Drosophila melanogaster: one gene and its partners. The protein of the gene in region 3 interacts with the protein of the main gene of each other region in a pairwise test. Each region holds a gene or a part of one and is shown on either strand. Other genes may lie near its edges. The genes, in order: aust, Indy, CG14204 and CG5103.

Region 1 (4,193 bases), on a different chromosome or scaffold from region 3:
GTACTGAAGAAAAACGGCAAGTTGTTTTAAGATTATCGTGAGTATTTTGATTAGATTATACTCGTTTATTGCTGGTTTTGAGTCAGTACCCGTATGTTTAATTCTTTGAAATCGTTTTGCGAAAACTCTCAAACCCTATCCACACAAACATAATGAATGTTACAAATCTGAATGTTATGTTGTTGTCATCTGTCACTGTTTACACGTATCAATTGATTGTCCAAATATGTATATGTTGTCTTTGTCTCTAAAAATCGTATTGAATAATTCAGTGAAAACAAGCGTATTTTAAGTCTCTATATATGTACCTTTTGCTATGTATTGTATTTTTATGTATCTGTAACTATATAAACGCGTACGACACGCCCCACTCCCACTCACATTTCACACTCAAATGGGAAACCTAAGAAACAAATGCTAAATTTAACACTATACACACTAAAAATTAATGATAATTTTTAATAACTAAATCTGTATATGTGTAAATGTAACGTTTGTCTAAGGAATCACACAACTGAAAGTGAAGTTGAAAAGTTAGGAAACCAAGTAAAGTTTCACTTGAATTTCATTTCAATGAAAACACAATACACTTTAATTTAACTAAGTACTATACTTACAAGCATAATTGAGAATGTTCACCCACAGACACACAAAACACACACATGCAACACAATAGAAAAATGTTTAAACAATTAAATTTAATGTTAGTGGAGACGGTATTCTGTACGCTATGTTTGTACTTACAAATCGATATATATATATATATATATATACATACAATTAATTAAATTTATTAATTAATTATACAACAAGAAGCAAGCAAAAAGCAGCAAACAGCAACAAGAACAACAGACACGTTCACTTAATGTTTAACAACTGAACAAAAACATTGAAAATGAGAAAATGAAAAAGACTAAATAAAATATTAACGAAATAAGCGTAATAGACGCGTTCTTAAAGTTTCCTATGATAGCTAGCAATTACGGTTTCAATTTGCCCAGTTTGTTGGCCATGTCCACAATTAATCCGAGATTGGCATTCAGTGTCTTCACCTGGTTGAGTGTGTTCTCATCCAGCTGCATCAGTACTTCCCGCTTCACGGTGTTGATCTTGTGCGGTTTCACGGTGATCACGCCGCCCCTGGTGGGAATGTGGACGTCCGCATAGCGATCCGGACGCATCTGGACGGCCAGCGGGCTTCCCGCCTTCGAGAGCACCATCTCTCCGGCGCGGGGCCATCGCACAAAGCTCATGGTGTCGCCACTCAGAGCCCTGTCCACCGAATGCGCCTGAAGCCTCGGTGGCAGGGCATTCTGCGGAGTTCGTGTTCGACCACGACTGATGGACAAACTGCGAGTTGTGGGCGGCTTAATAGCTGGAAAGAAAGTAAAACAAAAATAACAATTACTCTTCTATTGCCGACAGTTAAATTAAATCTCACCTGCCCTCTGAAATTCGGCAAAAGTCTTAAACCCGAGAGCCAAGAATTCTGGCATCTTCATTTGCAGTAGCTGCTTATCAGTCCTACCACGGATCACCTTAATTTGGTTGTCCACCTCTTGCTTGTAGCGCTTGCTCATCTCATCGATCTTCTCCAGAGCCGAATCCATTTTGATTTGGGACAGGCGCACTTTCTCTTCGCGATCAGCCTTCTGGCGCTGGGCCTGACGACGAGCTGTAATCTTGGTGCGAGGCATATTTCTAACGATTTATATATTCCAGTCAACTAATCGCCTAATTCTAACAAAGTCAAAGGGCTCTTTGGTGAACAAGCGATTCAAAACTGTATTCATATCAACGTGCGAAAATACATTTTAAACATTTTTAACATAACATAATTTTATTGGCCACTTTCTGAAATCTGGGAACTTAAAAGCGGTTGCCTCTTTTGCAATTAGCAAAAGAAAGATGTTATTTGAAGGTAGCAGTTTTTGCTAGAGCCATGAAATCCGACCATTTCATCTGCAGCAAACGAGCATCAGTCCTGGCTTGAAGCAAACCCAATTTGTTGTCCACATCCTGCTTGAACAACTTGGCCATCTCATCGACTTTATCCATTGCAGAATTAAATTGGATTCTCACTTTCTCATCTCTTTCGATTCTCCGTCGTTTTGCTTGAAGGCGAGTAATCATCATGGAACGCTTCATTTTTTTTTTTTTGGATTAAGCATGTATTTAAAACATTACATTTAAATCGCCGTACACTTGGATATGAACATGTATTGAAACTTATGCAAATACGATAGATTTTTATGAATAAAGACAAAATACTTGAACTAAATGAGTAAAATGAAAACTGAACTTAAACGAAACGTATTAAAATATATGATATAGCATTATATCTAGATAAGCGTTTGAAATGACAGCTACTTGAACACCGCCTGGCTGGCCTTATTAACAATCATCTGCAAGTTCTCGTGCAGCGTTTTGATCTGGTTAAGGGTGTCCTCGTCCAGGTTCTCCAACAGATTTGACTCCACCTCGTCGGCATCCAGTTTTTTGGGCCGCAAGCTAAGAACTCCGTTCCGAATGGGTATGTTCACATTGGCGAACTTGTCTGGCATTCTATCGTGTGGGAAAAATGGTTTTAACAAATTGGTATCGACACGTAGTATGTGATCAATACTTACACTTGAGCCACCATGGGACTGCCGTATTTGGATAGTGCCACCTCGCCGGGCTTGGGATAGCGCAGGAATGCCATCGGCGGTGTAGTTGGCGATCCGGAGCGCATTTGCTTCTGTTTCAAAGGAGTGCGGTCGGCACTGAAGGCCTTCGCACGCGAGGCCATCGGTGTGCGCAGTTTGCTGCGCGAATTGCGGCTGCTGCTGCTGCTGCTCGAAATTGACGGCGGTTTGGCCGAGTGCAATATGTTGAGATCCCCGCAGGCGGAACGACTGCGCCGCGCTCGACGAGCCCTCGCCGAGTGCAGTGGTCCGGGTGTGCGCATGGCCTTCGTGGACCGCAGCAGGGAGCCTGTGTGGGCGGCCAGGATGCTCCCACCGCTGGCACCGATGCTGCTGTCCTCTGTAAGGTAGCCTAGATACAGTGACCGGCACAGGATGTGGATGTGGGTATATGCATTTTGCGTGCATTGAAATGTGCGGTGCGGAGTTAGAAAGCAAAGTTGAGTTAGTCACAAAGCCGGACACCAGTTAGATTAAAATTAAAAGTGAAAATGGCAACAAGAGGGTATGATGAATACCGAATATACAATGGAATTTGCCAATTTGGCATGTAAAACCGGTATTCATTTGTAATTCGGGTGATGACATCCTTGCCAGCAGATTGGTATAACAGCATACATATATAGGCCAACAAACCTTCGTCATTGCGACTTCCAGTGGCGGAGGGGGCGTGGCCCTCGATGGCGCTGCCACTCATGGACATCGAGGCGAGCAGCTGCGTCTGATCGCTGGCCTTGAAGTCGCTGAAGCGGTCCAGTTCCTCGAAGAGGCGCAGCACTTCGGGCATCTTCAGATTGGCCAGCTCCTTCTGCACCTGGCCGAGCAGTGTCTTCACCTGGTGGTCCACGGCGGAGAGGAACTTGGTCTCCAGCGAATCGATGCTGATAAGGCGGGAATCCATTTTCAGCTCGTACAGGCGCACCTTCTCTTCGCGATTGGCCACCTCGCGGTTGCGTTTGGAGTTCTTTGGTATCTTGGTGCGCGGCATCGTGGCAGCGGCCTTTGTTTACACGTTACAGGGTTTTTGCGAGGAATAACTATTTTCGTAGCAAGCGTCGTCTTTTTGCTATTTCTTTTCGAGTTTGTCCGCTAAAATTCAAGCGTCATGGAACAGTGTTGCCAGATGGCTTTTCATTGCCCAGTTCACGACCGATTGAAAATACTAGAAATATTTTGATGGTGTAAGTGTAAAATGGTAACACTAATGCGCGGTAAATTCAATTAAATAATTCGAACTTAACTGAAGTCACTCCAAAATAACACATTTAAGTATATATCTTCTATATTTATTTATCTATATTTTGAATAATGAGTTTTGAATAATTCCAATGAGTTCTGCAACTAATCTCAATGAACTAGTTCCCTACAACATAGAGATCGATTTTTTTTATATCTTTATTTTTGAAAGGGGAATTCCAACTACCCATTTGTTAATAATGTAACGGTAATAGCATCTTATTATTATAACAAAATACAATATTGGTATATTAGTATTATTGAATAGTA
Region 2 (5,831 bases), on a different chromosome or scaffold from region 3:
CTTTAATGACATAAAGAAAAAGCTAAACAATTAGAAACTAAGCCAGAAAGTAGTTGTACAATAGTTAATTAAGGATCGTACCTTATGTTCAGACATACTTTACTTTAATGAAATTTAATCATTCATTTTCCATATAAGTATAATGACTTAAGCATCAGGAATATCTTCTTCACCGTTTACGCTTTAATGAGTTAAGGCCCATGTAAGCTGGGTAATTGAAGTGAAACTTTCTCGATGGCGAGGGACATGCACTCGCTGGGTGAAAGTGGGCATGAGGTCCAGAATCCACTGGAACCACTCGACAAGTCGTCAAGTCAATCTCGGCGTGAAACTCGTTTGCCTGTTCAAGTTTTAGTTGCTTACATCAAGTGCAAAAGATATGAATGTGACAAGTGGTTGCCACTGTCATCGTCATCGATTGCTGGCATGGAATGGACTTGAAGCTTTTCCTGTGCATGCCGCGTGTAAATGTTCTATCATCTGCATTTGGCATGCTCCACATATGGGTTTTCCACTAAAAACTGATAAAAATAAGCGTGGCCTGTTAAGATAGTGGTTGAGATACTTAGACGTTCTTTAATCATCGCGGGTGGTGAAATAAATTCTATTTTTAGAATTCCAACTTCAAATTCAAATAGGTGTTGTCAAGGACTGAACATGCAATGTACTAGGAAAATAGATTGTTACGAAAGTAACACTGACTAAAAAAAATATATAATATTTCGCTTAGATACAATTATAACAGAATTAGAGAAAAAAACAGTTTTACCACGGCGGATTTGTAGGCTTCTATGACATAGAAATAATTGCAGACCAACACACTTTGTAAAAATCAATACGAACAAATTTCAAAGTCGCATAGGAAATGGCCATAAATTGTTGATTGGATCGATTCAATTGAGAACGAGGACGATTCGGTTAGGGAACCTACGTGCATCGAACATTCGGGAATCAATACGACAACTTTAAGAAACTTGCCAGAACAAATTTCACTCATATTAAATTTCGCCAGAGAGGAGATAATTGTATCAGATTTATTTCAGAGGCGCCGTGCTTGACAACACATTATTTTCTTTGATCTTGCTGTTTAAGCAAGAAAATGCTATATGAATCATAAATGTATCTTATGTGTGTAGAAACATATGTGGAAAGTTTTTTTTTCGCAGCAAGTTGATCAAGTGAGATCATTTTATTGCATTGAGCTGTAATTTAATTGAACCGAACGGAAGGCGACAATGAAATGCAACGAATAAATTAGTGTACACGAAGTTAAGTAAAATATATGTACATATGTATGTAGAAGAAACCGACCCACTAAATGTGTGCTAACAACATACATACTTAAATCGTAAGAAATGTACTGCAAATAAGGTAAATACCCTTTATTATTGGTAAGCAGTGTTCTTGAACAACTCGCACTACATTTTATTGAAACAGTTGTTAGTTATTTGTAATTACTGGCAATTAACTTACAAAAGGGCTAAGTTATTCAAGTGCTTTGTTGTGAAAATTCCCTACCTGCTATTATTAAGACCATCGTAAGAATTCAGGATTTCAAGCCGTTTCCAATCGACTTCGATCAGCAATTTGTTGGCCACTCAAACGAGAAGCGTGCAAGTTGAAGTTGAAACATTAAACAGATCTTCTCTAGAGGCTCTCACTTAGGAAACCCCCTGTGCTCGAAAAGCAAAACCAGTTTAGCACCGGTCAATAAATTTCAGCTCAAGATTTTTGCAACTTGTTTTTTTGTTCGCCAAACAAAACAAACCGAAAACCAAGGCTCAGAGATTGAGTTTGACCCACATTTAATCACTTTGAAACACAATTAAATAAATAATATAGAATAGTCGGAATATCAAATAAGAATCATATTCATTGGTCCCATTAGGTAATGCCGCAAAATAAATCCCCATGCTAAGTTCAGACACATTTTGCGCGTATTATACGAAAGAATATATCGAAATAAACATTTCAGATCTGCGTCTGCAATTGTTTTTCCTTTTGCGTCATTCCATGTCACGTGTGGGGGCGGGGCCCACAAAAAAAGATGTATTTTCTTCAAGGTAATATGGAGATTATAAGCCAAAATGTGAGTAAACATTTGTTCGAGAGCCAAAGTGCTAGGCGATTCTAAAAATATACGTAAAGTACTTTGAATTCTAATGCAGACATTCATCTGCTTTTGGAATTTGAACTTCAAATGCATAGTACTCAAATGATCGTTGGACTCTCTGTTTTGAAAAATGGGGTGACATTTGTGAAACAAAACGCATAATGAATTTATCAGCTTTATCTAGTTCCATTTCATTCATTACTGAAACAGGGTTTTACTATTTTACGCTGGGTCTATTAATCAGATAGAGGTGCCAACAATAAATAGTGAATAACAATAATTATAATATCTATAAATCTACAACGAAATTCCTCGCCTGATCATTTCAAGCAGCTTCTGTCTAAATATTCTCTGCACTTTCTAGGTTCCATAAAGTCTGTTTGCAATCCTCGCGCTTCTGGAAATTCCAGAATCAACGTTATCACACGTTTATAACTCTGCTCTTCAATAAAAAGACGAATTGTGACGGATTCTTAAAAAAGTTAAGCGCTTTTAAGCCTTTCCACTAATTGCCTTGAGAAACCTGGGGCATGCTAATTATTTTGCTGAATCTGAATAATTTTGTACATATTGTTATCTTTCGGTGTCGTCATTCAGTTTTTCGGTCAGGTGGTTGTCCACACACGAGAGAGATAATGCATACATATAATACATATAATACATATGGGGAGAATGTGGGGGAAGAAAGCGGTGTCACTTCCGAAGATTTGCACAAAAGTGCGCTGCTTCAGTTAGATAACAGATGGGGAAATGGAGATATCATACCAGCAGAATAATAAAAAACTGGTCATGGGTTGTTAAGTGGGTGTGTAAACAGTATGACGACACTTTATAGATTGAGCACTCAAACAAGCTGCTCAATAAGAGAGCAAAATGATTGGAAGTGTTTTTATATAAGTACTTATTTTCTAGGGAGTGGAATATATCTCCAAAGTCGGGAACAGAAGCACTTCGGCTAAGGAGCACAATAGCAGCACATGTGATCTCAAAATCATTTTAAAATTGATAAAACACTTGGTTTTGGACTTTGTTTACATAACACTCTCTTACCTAACCCGATTGCCACGCGCTACTCAAACTCGAAACCAGGTTTTCAGTCGGATCTTAACAGTTCGTCGCGAAAAGTCCTAGGGGCTTGCCGGGCATTAAGGCAGGTTCTCAAGGTCAACGAAAAGCAATTAACCGGAAAAGACGAAATGCCGCCACGTTCCCAAATTTCTAGCTGCAAACCACTTATCACTAATCACCTGCCTAATCACAAGTAATTACCGCTTTCTCAAAATCAAACTTACCATTTTTGTAGTTTCGGTCGCCATGGTTGGGGATCTATATGGTATAGATACTATTGGTATATCTGAAGAATTGATCACGCCGTTTCTCTTTCAGCACAACCGTAAGCGATTATTTCATAATTTCCACCACCGCGCCGAAAAATAACATATATATATATATATATTCGTTGGCTAGACCACTTTTTATGAATATGTTGCTTTGCGTTCGACGACTAATATGCGAATGCTACCAAAACTCAAAACCAAACCCAAACGATTTTCTTTCGCATTCTCCTCTCTCTCTCTCTCTCACTCGCTCTCTCTCTCTTTTAAGCCCTGGACATGGAAAATATCTGATAAGTTGTCGTTGTCTCTGTGGGCAAATACAAATACTTTAATACGCTAAGAGACACATTTAAACTTGTTTTTGCTGTGCATGCTTCTTTGTAGGGGCGTATTTACTATATTCTACACAGGTATATCTACATATCGTTCGTACACTTAAAGTATTTTTTACCTAGTTGACCTTTATGGTAAATTAAAATATTCGGAAGGGTTACTTTAATATTTTTATATAAATATTTTTAAAAGTGCTCTTTATTTAAGCCATGTTAATACTTTGATACTTTGTAATTTTAACAGGCAGTCAAAAACCCTTTTCAAACAATTTTTGGTATACTCCGCATGTAATTGAAATTTATTTTACGTTTGTCAAATGTAGAACAACGCGATATATACATACTCTGGCCTTGAAATTTAATTAAATGTTGTTTGAATATGCTTTGTAGTTCCTATAGTCTCTTTGACTCACCGTGCAAATTGCTAATGCATTTTTCGAGACCGGTGTAACTTGGCATTTCATTAATTTAGGATTATGTTGTCGATACAGACTGTTCTATTTAGCATAAGTCAGCGACTCATGCCCATGTTGATGAATTTTAATATGTGAGTATGAAAAGCCTTTTCCAAAGACTCAAAACGGAACACTCAGCTGGCAAAGGGTGTATGTTGATGTTCCTTCAGCGTTTTGTGGTTGTCTGAAATTAAATTTCTTTTTATATCAAAGTGCAAAAATAGCTTAAAAAGTCGATCTTACCTGTCATTTTCACTGATGAGAAGTGGGTTCCGGTGATCTGCCAGGACCAGGAGATATACTGAGTCTGGCTATAAAATATATGATATAATTCAAAACGACCCCAGCATTACTCCGTATGGAAGTTAAAGAATGCAGTTTTAAGTAACGAAAAATAGCCACCACACATTTAGAAATGTTTTGATTTATTTTATATTGTTATCTTTATTGCCACTATGTTTCTATATTTCCAACGAATTTTAAATGTCTTATATTATAGGAACTCGAGCTCCTCTAGTTTTGAATGTCTGTCTTACTTTTCCTTTTTTCACTCCTCTCTTCAGGATTTGAATAAATTATGATGGTCTTCCTAATAAAAATCCATAAGTTGAAAAATTTTAATGTTTTCAAATATAAAGAATACAAACTGACTTTAAAGAAGATACAGTCTTATTGAAAAAAAATTAAGTTGCCTTACTTTTCTCTTGCTCTTACTTTCTCACTTCTCTGATCACTTCCGATCGAAATTTTCGATGGCATAAAGCGTGTTTATGCTAGATATTTTTTTTGCACGCCGTGGTACCTGAAGAAATACATTCTGAGTGCATGAATCATGTGTCTAAACTCAAATCTTTACCTAAACTATCACTGTTAATTTGTGATTAATTCTTGGCAGAATCAGGATCAATTGTAATGGGGAAAACGAAATCTTTCATTTTTTTCCGCATTCCTAGTCTGATGCCAGTGCAACTAAAACTTCTGCGATCTGAGATCTCGACGTTCATACGGACAGGCGGACATGGGTAGATCGACTCGGCTATTGATCCTGATCAGGAATATATATACTTTATATAGTGCGAAACGCTTCCTTCTGCCTGTTACATACTTTTTAAATCTAGTATAATGAGCTCCGATTCTTCCAGCCAATCTACAGCGAATGCTGTGTCTGCAATATTGACCCCGATTTCCTACATTTCCTAATACCCTGCATCCTAAACGATTTCATCGCCCTTCAGTCCCCTTAGATCCAGCAACACGAATTCAAAACTTATAGACATCTTAAAAACCCCCACATCCAAATTTCTGAAAAAAGCCAATATAATCCATTTACTGTAAACAATTTTTCGTAATCCCCAATTATTAATCCCTTTAAATATATTGTAAATAATTGTAAGTAATGTTGTAACCTAATACTTAAATATTAAATAGTAAATATTAAAGGCTGGCTGAAAACCCCAACAGCTATAGCGTATCTTTACATTAACTATCATGAATCATAACTTTAAAACTTTTGTCTACAGTGTACAAATAAATAAAAAAATATAAAAATTTTAGCTAATACCTTTACGAAAATTTTTAATATTTAAGTACTTTT
Region 3 (6,904 bases):
CGCGCCACCTCCGTGTCCTGCGGCCCAGGATCGGCTGAGATCAGCGCCAGGAGCAGGCCCACCAACAGCAGGGCCATCAACTGCAGACGTAACATCCTCATCCTGACGGATCAAAGAGTATGTGTGTACCGCTCGAAAGGCCGTTCCAATCAGAACTGGCGCTGGTCAGCGCTGGAGTCGCCTGCCTGTACTCCAACGGAGTGGTGCCACGCGGGCCTGGGCGTCGCGGATTAAGTGCCCCCCCAAAGTCAACTAGTTAGACGGGTTAGCTGCGACCGTCCGCCTGGATCTCGTAATCGCAGACCCCGCCGACTGCCGGCGGTTATCAACGAGTTCAGTGCGTGGCAACAATTACTTTTGCACTACTTTTGCGCCAGTTTATAGATCGTAAGTGCAGCTCGAACTATGCATAATGCTTAGCGGCGAGTGCATTTTAAGAGGCTAAACAACACGCACCGTGGGACTAGAACTCCATATACCCACCTATATATATACCATACATACACATAGCATATACCATATAGTAGAGCTGCCTCCAACATAAGGGATTGATATACACAAGGGAACTAACTATCTGCAAGCTCATTAAGTATCTATACTATTTAGATTGTTCTGTGTCGAGTACGAATCTACATGTTTTAAAACCCTAACAAAATATCAATAATTCACAGATAAGTTTCCCATAAGATAGGGAAATCATTCATAGATTGCTTGTTTTATAATTGTAAACTCAAGTGGTTATATACCATATACAAACGTATGTATGTACATACTACCAATTTCACTTGAACTTGTGTCAAATCTCATTCCTCAAAACAGTTCAAATGTTCAACAATGAAGATTATCTGAATATTATAGGTGTATTCGATTGGGAAAGATTTTACGAACAGTGGGCGCTTACTAATTCGTTGACTAATTCGTCAAGTTTGTACCACTGTGCCGAAAAAGAGGGGCTGTCACGATTTGCTCTCATAATAATATGAATTTCAATTTCGGTTTGGCTGCGGCTGTTGCATTTGATTTTCAAGATATATTTAATCATTTCCAGAGTAATTAACAGCTTTTGGTTTTTCAAGCATTGGCGCAACTGGACAATGGTTAGCAACTCTCGTTTGCAATTCGCATTCGCATCGGAATTGGGTGAAAAACCAGTTTAGACCTTCGATTTTCCGAAAGTTTTGACCAAAGTTTTGACACTTGCTGCCTGAGTTCTGCATGTAAATTAGATTTTGACTGCTGTACCGGTTGTTCAGGTCTTTTCAAATAGGCAACTATGCATAATCTAATTTAAGTCATAGTTACTTATATACATATATAAAAGTACCATTCAAAACACTAACTTTCGCGTTGGCAATGCTGGGTATCTGATAGTCGGTTCGGTTGCATTTGGCGTTCCTTCTCGCTGTAACCTTGATGTATTGCTGTTGCATAACCAAAAAATGCGAATCTGGTCCAAAATTCATACGAAAACCAGTCGGTGCCACACCCCTCCACTTTTGGCTGGGAACCTAGACGAAAGTGAAAACTCGTTCGAATTTCCATTTTCCAGCAAAAGCTGGGAAAACCTGGAAAACACAGGATATCGAGAAATAAGTATTGCATGTCAAAATCAAAAACTGGACAAATCTCTGTCCCGAAAAATGTCGGAATTGCAGACACAAAAAAAAAAAAAAACGACAGACAACTGAGCAACAATTTGCTGAACATTTCGTTTGAATACCATTAGTCATGTTGTATGGAAAGCCAAATCGCCTTTTAATCAGCAGCTAAGTTAAGTTAAGTATTCTCGGGAAATTCGACAAGGTAGAGATGCTACCGAAACAGCCAAATCCAGCGGCTTATCTTTCCGGGTATTCATCCGAATCGCAATAGTATTAGCCACGTTAAGAGTTCGCTGCCCTGATTACCAAGGGTAGCTATGCCTCCGATTATTGGTAACTATTCTATTGTCGGAGGCGCAGATAATGAGATAATGAATTCTCGATTTCGAATGGGAAATGCACAGCAGGATTTGCCTGTGTATAAATGGGCCAGGGAAGGGTGATTCGCTAAACAGTCGTAAACTAGGAGCTCCAGGCGAAAGATGATCAAGCTATTGGCTATATTGCTTGCCATGGGAATGGCGATGGTCCAAGGAGCGCTGCCGACCCAACTATCAAATAATCAATGGACACAACACGATGTGTCCTCCATGGCGGATTACGAACGGCTCCTGGATCTGCGCTCCCTGGCAATGGAGTTCTATCGCGAATTTCGGAACATTTCAACGGCGGATGTGCATCTTCTGGGTGAGCGGATTGGATCACAAGATCTACAGTGCCTGGCCGATATGGCCCAGTTTATGAGTGCGCTTAGTGCGCCCAAGGCGTGGGCCCTAAAAAGTGGGTATTACAACATCTTCAACTTTGATGCCATTTGAGTTTATCCCTTCTATGCGAAGTGCTCGACGCGTGGGGCACCATTCCATCGGGATATCTCATTGGCAACCGCGTCGACATGGGCAACTACAGGGAGTGCCTGTCCGAGGGCGGAATGCTCACCTCATCGCAGGACATCCAGGGAAAGTACTGCTTCATGGAGCTGCCGGTTGCCAAGTGGTTGGGTTTCACTTCTGAGCTGCTGGCGGTGACCAACATAAGGACTGCTGTGTGCCTGCCTTCCTCTTGCTCGGCGGGCACCATGGAGCTGTTCCTCAAGCAACTGCTCAAGCGGCTGCTTGGCGTCAGTGATCCGACCAATTTGTTTTCCATCAGCGAGACGTCGTGCAGAATCAAGGAGAAAGCACCCTGGGATGGGCTCACCATATTCACAGTGTGAGTAGTGTCTTGATACATCCTAGCTGATCTATCCATACTAACTGACTACCATCAGCGTTCTACTGTCCGTATTTGGTGTCACGGTTATCCTGTGCACCCTCTACGACTACTTCTTGTGTCCGGAGCAGGGTAAGTAGCTGACATAAATCGGATAACAGCCTATATGTATGTATATGTACCATATATCCATGTCTACCCGCAGAAAAGCTACCCCGTCCCATCGGCGCCTTCTCAGCCCGTGCCACTTCGCGTTCGCTGTTCACCATTGTGGAGAACACGGCGAATCCGAATGTAATCCACTGTCTCAATGGCATGCGGTGCATGTCCCTGATCTGGGTAATCTTGAGCCATGAGTACATTATCAACATGAAGGGTCCCGCCATCAATCCAGCGGACAACCTGCGATGGGCGACGCAACTCTTCTCGAGCTTCATACTCTACGGTACCTTGTCGGTGGACACGTTCTTCTTCATCAGCGGCTTGCTGCTGGTTTCAATTGGCCTGCGAAGCATAGAAAAGTGAGTCAACTTGTACAGGGATTAATCCGATCTGTAGGCAGGCTAACATTCTCAATGGCTCCAGAAACAAGGGAAAGCTAAATGTGCCGCTGATGTATCTGCACCGATATCTGCGCCTCACTCCGATCGTAGCCGTTGCCATACTGGCATTCTACAAGATGATACCCCTCATCGCAGACGGCCCAATGTACGATGATATCGGCTTTTTCGACTACTCCGGGTGCAAGATGACCTGGTACTGGACTCTGCTCTACGTGCAGAACTACGCAACATCCGATGTGGTGAGTTGAATGTCCAAGTTGATCAGGAGAGGTGGACAAGCCCATCTAGTCCGTCCGTATCAGGATGGATCTGTATCAACCTTATATACCTTAGAAGTTACAATAATTAAAAGTGTTTAGTGGCTTTACTGCGAATAGGAGATCACTTCGATAGATGGCGCCTGCAGCACTAGAATTGATCGTTGGCGCCATCTATGTAAGTTCGGTGGTACCATTGCCATTGCAGTTGGAGCTCTTGACTATATCTGTATATTTATCTATCTAATTATTTGATTGTTGGTTGCTCCTTAGTGCGTGCCGCATACCTGGTACTTGGCGGTGGACATGCAACTGTACATCCTGTCCCCGATCCTGCTGATCGCCCTCTACAAGTGGGGCAAGAAGGCGGCCGGAGGTATCCTGGTGGTCACTTTGTTGCTCTCCGCCTGCCTGTTTGCCACCATAATGGTGAATGACTTCCCTGTGATGTTCAAGTAAGCCAGTCGCGCCCGCCGTTTTGTGTCCCCCAATGCTAATTGCAATTACTAACAGGAATGGAATTCAGGCTCAGGTGGTTCAGAGGAAGATCTACACCGCTACGCATACCCATGCGGCGCCCTGGTTGGTCGGTACTATGTTCGGTTATCTCCTGCACCTGATGCGCGGCCGAAGATTCAAGTTAAGCCTCCTGGCTACCTGGGCAGGCTGGCTGCTCTGCCTGGCCCCGCTCTTCACCTCGATCTTCGCCTTGTATCCGTACTCCAAGCTGCTGGGCAAATCGCCCTCAGTGTTGCAGGGAGCCCTCTACTATACACTGGTCCGGATCGCCTGGCCCCTCGGTCTCTGCTGGGTGGTCTTTGCGTGCATGCAGGGCTATGGTAGTCTGGCCAACAGCTTCCTCTCCTCTCCACTTTGGCAGCCGTTGTCCAAGCTCTCCTACGGCGCCTACATCTGGCACATCTTTGTCGTGGAAGTCGCCAATAGAAGCGTTCAGACCAATACGTACTTCTCCAACTATCAAGTGGTAAGTGTGTGGCAGGCAGGGTCACTCGACATTCCTATTGGACTTGAACGCTTCATTTCCAACTCCATAGATGCTCAACTTTTGGTCCACCTTTGGCTTTACCCTGCTGATGTCCTACGTGCTCTACGTTTTAATTGAGGCGCCTCTGGAGGCCTTGGAAAGAATTATGTTTCCCAATCGCAGAAGCCCGCCAGCAGCAAAGGATCAGCTGCATATCGAGTCCCGAACGGAAGTCGTGGACCAGATGGACCAGATGGATCACATGGACGGGATGGATCAGGTGGTGCAGCACGAGAAGCGCAGTGATATCCAGCCTGACCTGGAAACGAGTGCCAACAAAACAGAGACTGACCTCGAGTTATCAAATTAGACTTATCAGCTCCTATTTAGCCTTTATTAAAACGAACTACTTGTAATCTAGGCACAATTAACTTAACCACGGGTCTAGAGTTACGATGGAATGAATGGTCCTTGAGTTGAAAAGTCTTGCACTTAAGACGATATCAGTCGTTATCTGGTTGCGACTTTTGCGACCAGGTGGGTTTCGAATTAGTCATGAAGGTGATTCCCGACTTTGGCTTGCTGTAATGGGCACACAAAGATTTCAATTCTGACTCACAGAGGCGATGCACGCCCCATTCAGTTACAGAAAAAAAGAAAAGAAACACAAAAAAAAAACAGAAGGAACGACTTTGTCTAGTGTCTCGACTATCAGATATGTATGCACCAAAGCGTTTACAAGTTTTTCAGTTTGATAAGAGCCAAATCTGTTGATAATTTACATTCCATAGATTACGTATTTGTATTTGTATACTTGACTTCCCCACTTTGCTGACCATGTGTCTTGACTTTCATCTGCGTAGTGACGAAATGCTATGTTTATAGTCAGGAAATTGGAGAATTTGCTCTGATAAAACGATAAAATCAATCGATTGACAAACCAATCGAAACGTATTTATTAACATTTTAAACTTGTATTTTGGATGCTTAAAGTGGGCGGGGCCAACATGTTGTGGGCAGATCGACAGAAATGGGCAAGCCAAATAATAAAAGTAGGCGTATCTGCGTTCATATGGATGGACATGGAAGTATCGACTCGTCCAGTGATTCTGATCAAGAATATCGGAATCGCTTACCGTACAATGAATTTCGAACACAGTTTTAATACTTTACGTAACGCATGAAATCATATATTTTAAATGTAATTATACTAAAACGTTGCTCTTTTCGGGAGCAGCCTGAATAACTTCGTCGGGTATCGTGGATATCGCTTCCGCAGGCTTACCTACTGGAGATTCTTCGACTGATGCCTTCACCTCCGACATCCTGGGCTCCACCACCGCGGCCGGCTTGGCATTTGGCCTCTTTGCGGGCAGCAAAAGGCTTTCCAGACCGGCGAATGGCGCTTCGATTAGGATATGCATGAGGTACGAGAACAGAATCGTAAAGCCAAAGTCCGTCCAGAATCGAAGCATCTGGAGATAGGGGGATTCTTAGAATGGTCAACTCCGCGTACAAGGGAACATGGTACCTACCACTTGATAGTCACTAAAGTAGGTACTTGTGTGCGTGATTCCACCGTTCAAGCTCTCGATGAACATGTGAAAGATGTAGGCGGAATAGGATAGCCTGGACAGCGGCTGCCACAGGGGAGAGGATAGCAAGCTGTTGGCCAGTCCTCCGTAACCGTGCATGCAGGCGAAAACCACCCAGCAGAGACCAAGGGGCCAGGCGATCCTGGTTAGGCTTACGTAGAAGGCCTCCTCCACAATGGGCAACGTGTTCTGACCATAGATCGAAAACAGGCAGCTGGCTATCAGTGACAACGCAATCAGCCATCCCAGGAGGACAGCCAGGCGGTTCAGCTTGAAATCCTTGCCCCGGTTGGTATGAAGAAAGTAGCCGAACAGTATGCCAATCAGGTAGGGAGAAGCACGAGTCTGTGTGGCATAGTAGAGCTTCCTCATCGAATCACCGCCGCTTCCTCTGCAAATAAGAGAATTGTTCTGAATATCTTACATATAAGTATCCCTAACATCCACTTACAGCGATAAATCATTGATGACCATGATGCTAAAAAGACAGCCGGCCAGCAGGAGCATCAGAACAAAGATTCCGGCAGCCGCCTTCTTGCCCCACTTGTACAGGCAGATCAGGAGGAATGGTGCAAAGATGTACAGCTGCATGTCCACCGCCAGGTACCAGGAATGACTTAGGCACTGCGAGAAACCGTGGGTGATATAAGGTGATACAAAATGTCGTCATCGAAGGACCCTACCAGGCTAT
Region 4 (5,467 bases), on a different chromosome or scaffold from region 3:
GTCGTTCCCTCATAAATCTACCCCAAAATCACACATCCAACTCCTACACATGTGTGGCGGGAACAATGGGCACTCCACATATGATGTCATCTAATCTATTTTCATTTTGTTGAATTTATGATCTCTAACCAATCTAGTTAGCCATGCTCACTTAACAAAAATTGAAAAACTTCTCCGCTATCTGTGCGTCCATTGTGTATTTGAGGTGTATAGAATTTTTAAAGCATTTATCGTAAATTTTGATCGAATCGGAAGGGATACTTTGTCCACTTGGCCAACCCTTAACCACACACAGAGGCACATCCTGTTGTCCTTTTGAACCAAACCATCAAACAATATAGAGTACTGATTAGGAAGCGAAAAACAATAAATGGACCTCTGATGCCTCAGAGGCAAATGAATAAATGGATGAATGCCACATTAGACGGCAACGGATGTCATTACGGATAATTTAAAGTGGCCTTTGGTCAGGCGAGATAGAACTAAAAGAAACGGGAGTGATTCGACCACGAGATACCCTTGTTTTTTTACAAAATATTTTTGTTTCATTATTAATATAAGGCTCCTATTATATATACTTGTATTTATCTTTTAGTTATACATATATAAACAGAAAAAGTTGTCAGTTAAGCTTATAACTAGAGGAACATATATTAAATAAATTTTTTTATAGTTTTGTAATTAATTTTAAAATTTCTCCTGTTCCTTAGGGGTAATTCCCTGTTCAAATAGTGTCAACTATTTGCCTGATAATACAGTCAAACCGTATCGAAAACTAAATCAACAATAGGAAGAGGAGGCTATCGATTGGATGCGCCCCTGCGAAAAGGTCACTGCAAATAAATATGTCAAAATCGAAAAGTACCGCCAACGCAGTAAATGATCCTCTGTGTTAAGTTCCTGAAATTAATTCCGCCCAATTGATTTTTGGCAAATGCAATTTTTCTTTGAACTTCAGTAGCATGTAGTGCATTTCACGTTGCACGGTTATTAGTTCAGGTAGAGCGATATATAATACCGCAGCTGAAGAGCACGTATCAATGAAAAAGGGACAGGTCACATTTAAAAAAGGGTTGATTTCTTATTAAGGGAATATTTGATTTATTAAGAAGTGGAGTGGTTCATATTTCGGTCCAAAAACAAAGTACTTTGAATACAATAAAGATCATTTAATTCTCATAAAAAAATAAATACAGGTGACTAAAATGTCCAACAATGCGATAATAGTTTTTTTTATTAACTTCTTGCTAATTTTTTATTCAATTTGCATGATAACCAAAATATAAATATAGTTACAGTTATAATTTGTGTTGAGAGAGATATTTAAAAGTTTTGATTACGGAAAGTACTTGAAATTATAAAGTTACACTTCTTAATTTTTTCGATTTTTTCGAACATTCTGCTCACTTCTTCATGATGGCCAGGCTTGCTTTGTATATATTTCTGGAGGAGACCCCAAACATGTCCAGCAGAACAGCAGGAGGGCCTGATCTCGGTACAGTGGTAATATAGAGATGCTTGACCACAAAGTTTCGATAGTCGGCCAGAGCACTGAGGACCGCCTCGCCCAATCCGCCTTGCTGGTAATGATCCTCCACCACGACGATTCTTCCACGACACAGCTTTCCATGCTTCACGATTAGTCCGACATCGAGGGGCTTCACTGTAAAGGGGTCGATCACTCGTGCCGTAATGCAATCCTCCTCCAATCTCTCCGCTGCGGCCAGGCACTCGTACAATGTGACGCCGGCTCCAATCAGGAGCACTTCATCCGAGGGCTTCTGGCGCACCACTTTGCCCAGTCCCACGGCAAACACCTCGTCATTGTTGTAGATCACCGTTGTGCTCGGATACGTTGTGCGGATGTAGCACACGCCCTTAGTATTGGCAGCCAGTTCCACCGCCCTCTCCGTGCTAACTGCGTCCGTGGGATAGAAGACCGTGCTCCCGGGAATGCTCCTGAACATGGCCATGTCCTCCAGTCCCATTTGGGAGGGACCATCCTCGCCGATGCTGCAGCCACAGTGGGAGCCCGCAAAGTTAACATTCGTGTGCGAAATTGCGCCCATGCGGATCTGATCAAAGGCCCGTGTGAAAAAGGTCGCATACGTCGAAACGAAGGCCACAGTGCGACGTCGACAGGTGGCTCCCACGGCCACGCCCACCAGATTCTGCTGTGCGGTGAAGCACTCGATGAAACGCTCTGGAAATGCATTCCTCATCTTGTCCGCATACGTCGAGTTCTTTGTATCGCCATCAAGGGCAATTACCCGAGGATTATCAGCCGCGATTTTGGCCAAGGCGGTTCCGTAGGCTAAGCGTGGGGCTACCGAATCTCCCAGCCGATAATTGGGCGGACTGCACAGCATTATATTGTTAATATGCACCTCGGGGGCGTGGCCGCACTTTCCCACCTTTTTGGGTGTCAGGCGGACGTTGGGATTTGCGATTTTCATCTGAGGAAACACATGATACCATTAACCATACCGTTAATGCAATTAATTGGTCTTTCAATCATACCTGCAAATGCTTGATTGCAGATTCGGCCCTCTTACCCAGTGGCTGTGCATGCATTTCTTCGATTCCTTCGATGCCCAGAAAGTCCTTTCCCTTAGTCGTCCTGGCTAAAAGAGCCGTGGGCTTACCCTTGGTGCTGGCCGCATTAATGAAGGCCTTGGCCAGCTCATCAATATCGTGGCCATTTAAGACTAGGGCATTGAACCCGAAGGCGTCCAACCTCTCCCGATAAACCTCCATTTCAGTGCCTATGTCCGAGCAGAAGATCTTGTTCATATCGAAGATTACGCACAGGTTGTCCAGGCAGTAGTGGCCGGCAAAGTGGAGCGATTCCCAGACTGCTCCTTCGGTAGCCTCGCCATCGCCCACGATCACATATGTACGATAGTCGGCCTTGTCCAGGTGTTTGCCCACATAGGCCATTCCAGCGGCCACTGAGATGCCCTGTCCCAGGGATCCGGTGCTCACATCGACGAAACTCAGCCGTGGAGTGGGATGACCCTCTAGATCACTGTCCACCTTGCGCAAATTTCGCAGCTCCTCCACCGGGAAGAGTCCAGCCTCCGCCCAAACGGCGTACAGAATGGGTGCAGCGTGTCCCTTGGACAGAACCAATCGATCGCTGGAAGGATCGCGAGGATGCTTCAGATTTAGGCGCATCTGCTGAAAGAACAGCACCGTCATTATCTCGGCCAACGAGGCACAGGACGTCGGATGTCCCGACTTGGCCGCCTGTGTCGAGGTGATCGAGTGGATCCGCAGCTTTTGGGCCACGTCCTTCAGGTTCTGAACGACCTTACTGTCCAGCTTAGCGTTCGACATTTTCACAACCAAATTTTGATTAATTTTGAGAAACTAATCAAAGACAGACTGTTGTGCTGTAATTTTTACCACATTTCAAATTTCCCTTCGATTGGCGTAAAAATTATATAATGTATTTATATAAGTTATAAGTTTTATTTTAACAAATTGGTAGAAGAATTTTGAAATGTTTAGTCCTTTTTTCTTCCAATTCCCACGTGTAAAATGCATGGATGGCTTTTTGATTTGATTTTGTTTTTTTTTAGTAATTGTACATTTTCAGCAAATTGAAAGCATCAAAACAGCATTCCCACACGAATCACTCAAACATCCAAGTAAGGTCATTACAAATCAAAAGTCGTAAATATTTTGACGGCAGAAACTCAAAACAGTAAAAAGTTTCATTCAGTGAAGGTTATATAAAAAAATGCAGTGTGAATTTACGGTGAAAAATTGCAGTTCTCACAGCGAGAAAACGCATAAGTAAACATAGAGTGCAGGACCAACCCTCTGGACCGATAAATGCCCATCAATGAGCCAAGAGGTGCAGTTTTGAAAACAGTTTAAATTTGATTTGGGTGCGAATCGGAATTGCACGAGGGTTGCATTGGATTCTAACCCTTTCCCCGGATCATCGAAGCGTTCCGTCTGTCCGAGCGCTAAATAAATCATTTCTCTTCGATTAATTCGCTTGCTGACATGTGCACACTCACATGTCCCGACTGAAGGGTTTACTTTGAATTTAAAAAAAAAGGGGTTTACACATGGTTTCGGCTAAGCGACCGCTACTCATGTCAAATTTTGGCTTTTGCTCTCCTTTGTAGTGGCATGGAAAATTGTCCATGGCCGTGCAGTCATAAGTTATAAATTAGTTAAGTTTCTTTCGAGCACTTTAAAGTCAGCCGGAGGGTTGCTTAAAAAAAGGGGTTCCCTCCACACCACACCCTTTCCCTTTTCCACGTCATTGAGTTTGCTTCCTTATGTGTGTTTTTCAAAATTTTTAAGTGCATTGATTAATTTTTATTTTGATCGGTCCGAAATCAATATTGTTTGCAAATTTCCAGTAAATACCCAACCGAAGACACGGGCCCAGCAGTTGGTGTGTGTAATTTGTCGTCATTCGCAACGCCCAGCGATATTTCCCTGATGTTTGCCACTTAGCAAAGGGTTCAGTATCCATTGCTAATGTTTCGAGTATGAATTCAAGCGAATTTATGTAGTGGAAGTGCTTTAAGAGAGTTTCACCAGATGATAACCGTGGGAAATGGGGATTATAGCATTGACATCTGATTTGGAGATTTCAAGGGGCCTAATCAAAAATGCTATTAAAATAAGTGAGTAATTTATAAGAAAAATTTAAAGATGATATACAATATATTTCCTGATCAAGGCTCTGGAACACTTCGCTGAACCCTCCGCTTCGGTAGGCACATACATCGTTTTCAAAGAAGAAGCCTCTGAGGACTGCGAACCCTCCTTCTGGCTCCTTCTGGCTGCTCAGAATCCTCCTTCATCAAGATCTCGTTGTTTCCAGTAGCAAACCCAATACGCGTTCGTCTTTTCTGCCATTTCTGAATTCAGTTGAGCTATGGAGCGGGTTTCTCAGGCAAGTGAAGAAGCTCAACAGGTGCCAAGTAACCGAAAAACTACCTTAAAAATCCAAAAACGCAAAACATTTCAAGAATAATAAAATTCTTTCAAAAATAACCTGTACAATTTAATTTAAGTAACAGCACAAAAACCACCAAAATGTATTAACCATTGTATATAAATATAGATTTTAAGCTCACGTTATAAACTATACTTTCATCTCAAATAAGTAAAAAACAATATATTTTAGACTTAAGTCTTTTATATAATGGTAAACATTTTTGCCTGGTAATAGTGAAGTATCACATTTTATACGATTTATTTTAGGACTGATAAACAATTCAATTAACGATTGACTGCCATTCCCAATCGAGGATGTGAAGAGCATGAAAAATCGCATTCGGATTCGGAATAAATTTTCCCAGGCTAAGCAGGCACACTCGACTTTAATAGGACATTTGACTAAGTGGAAGCGATTGACCTATGTCCAAGCTCATTTATTGATTCCGTCCATTTGCATAGGATAGGACCTATCTAGGCTTCCCCTCCCTTTGATCTG

What was found.
Region 1: the proteins of CG14204 (region 3) and aust interact in a two-hybrid assay, tested with the Drosophila melanogaster proteins (one large-scale study listed by BioGRID).
Region 2: the proteins of CG14204 (region 3) and Indy interact in a two-hybrid assay, tested with the Drosophila melanogaster proteins (one large-scale study listed by BioGRID).
Region 4: the proteins of CG14204 (region 3) and CG5103 interact in a two-hybrid assay, tested with the Drosophila melanogaster proteins (one large-scale study listed by BioGRID).

What each region holds. Positions count from the first base shown.
Region 1 is NT_033779.5:9,249,312-9,253,504, forward strand, and holds aust (australin), read right to left. Parts: upstream 1,732-4,193; 5' UTR 1,698-1,731; coding exon 1,442-1,697; intron 1,376-1,441; coding exon 981-1,375; 3' UTR 737-980; downstream 1-736. Other genes in the region: borr (borealin-related), read right to left, coding at 2,367-2,565, 2,631-3,039, 3,324-3,675.
Region 2 is NT_037436.4:18,842,631-18,848,461, forward strand, and holds the start of Indy (I'm not dead yet), read right to left. Parts: upstream 3,638-5,831; 5' UTR 3,430-3,637; coding exon 3,406-3,429; intron 157-3,405; exon of another isoform or gene 1-156. UniProt on the Drosophila melanogaster protein: Cation-independent electroneutral transporter (not associated with membrane depolarization) of a variety of tricarboxylic and dicarboxylic acid-cycle intermediates. There is also small, but detectable, transport of monocarboxylics.
Region 3 is NC_004354.4:19,581,559-19,588,462, forward strand, and holds CG14204 (uncharacterized protein), read left to right. Parts: upstream 1-2,058; 5' UTR 2,059-2,083; coding exon 2,084-2,381; intron 2,382-2,440; coding exon 2,441-2,813; intron 2,814-2,871; coding exon 2,872-2,945; intron 2,946-3,018; coding exon 3,019-3,334; intron 3,335-3,398; coding exon 3,399-3,615; intron 3,616-3,906; coding exon 3,907-4,088; intron 4,089-4,146; coding exon 4,147-4,618; intron 4,619-4,688; coding exon 4,689-4,988; 3' UTR 4,989-5,499; downstream 5,500-6,904. Other genes in the region: CG14218 (uncharacterized protein), read right to left, coding at 1-101; CG14219 (uncharacterized protein), read right to left, coding at 5,824-6,093, 6,154-6,604, 6,665-6,837, 6,897-6,904.
Region 4 is NT_037436.4:18,290,890-18,296,356, forward strand, and holds CG5103 (uncharacterized protein), read right to left. Parts: upstream 3,374-5,467; 5' UTR 3,340-3,373; coding exon 2,521-3,339; intron 2,457-2,520; coding exon 1,404-2,456; 3' UTR 1,236-1,403; downstream 1-1,235.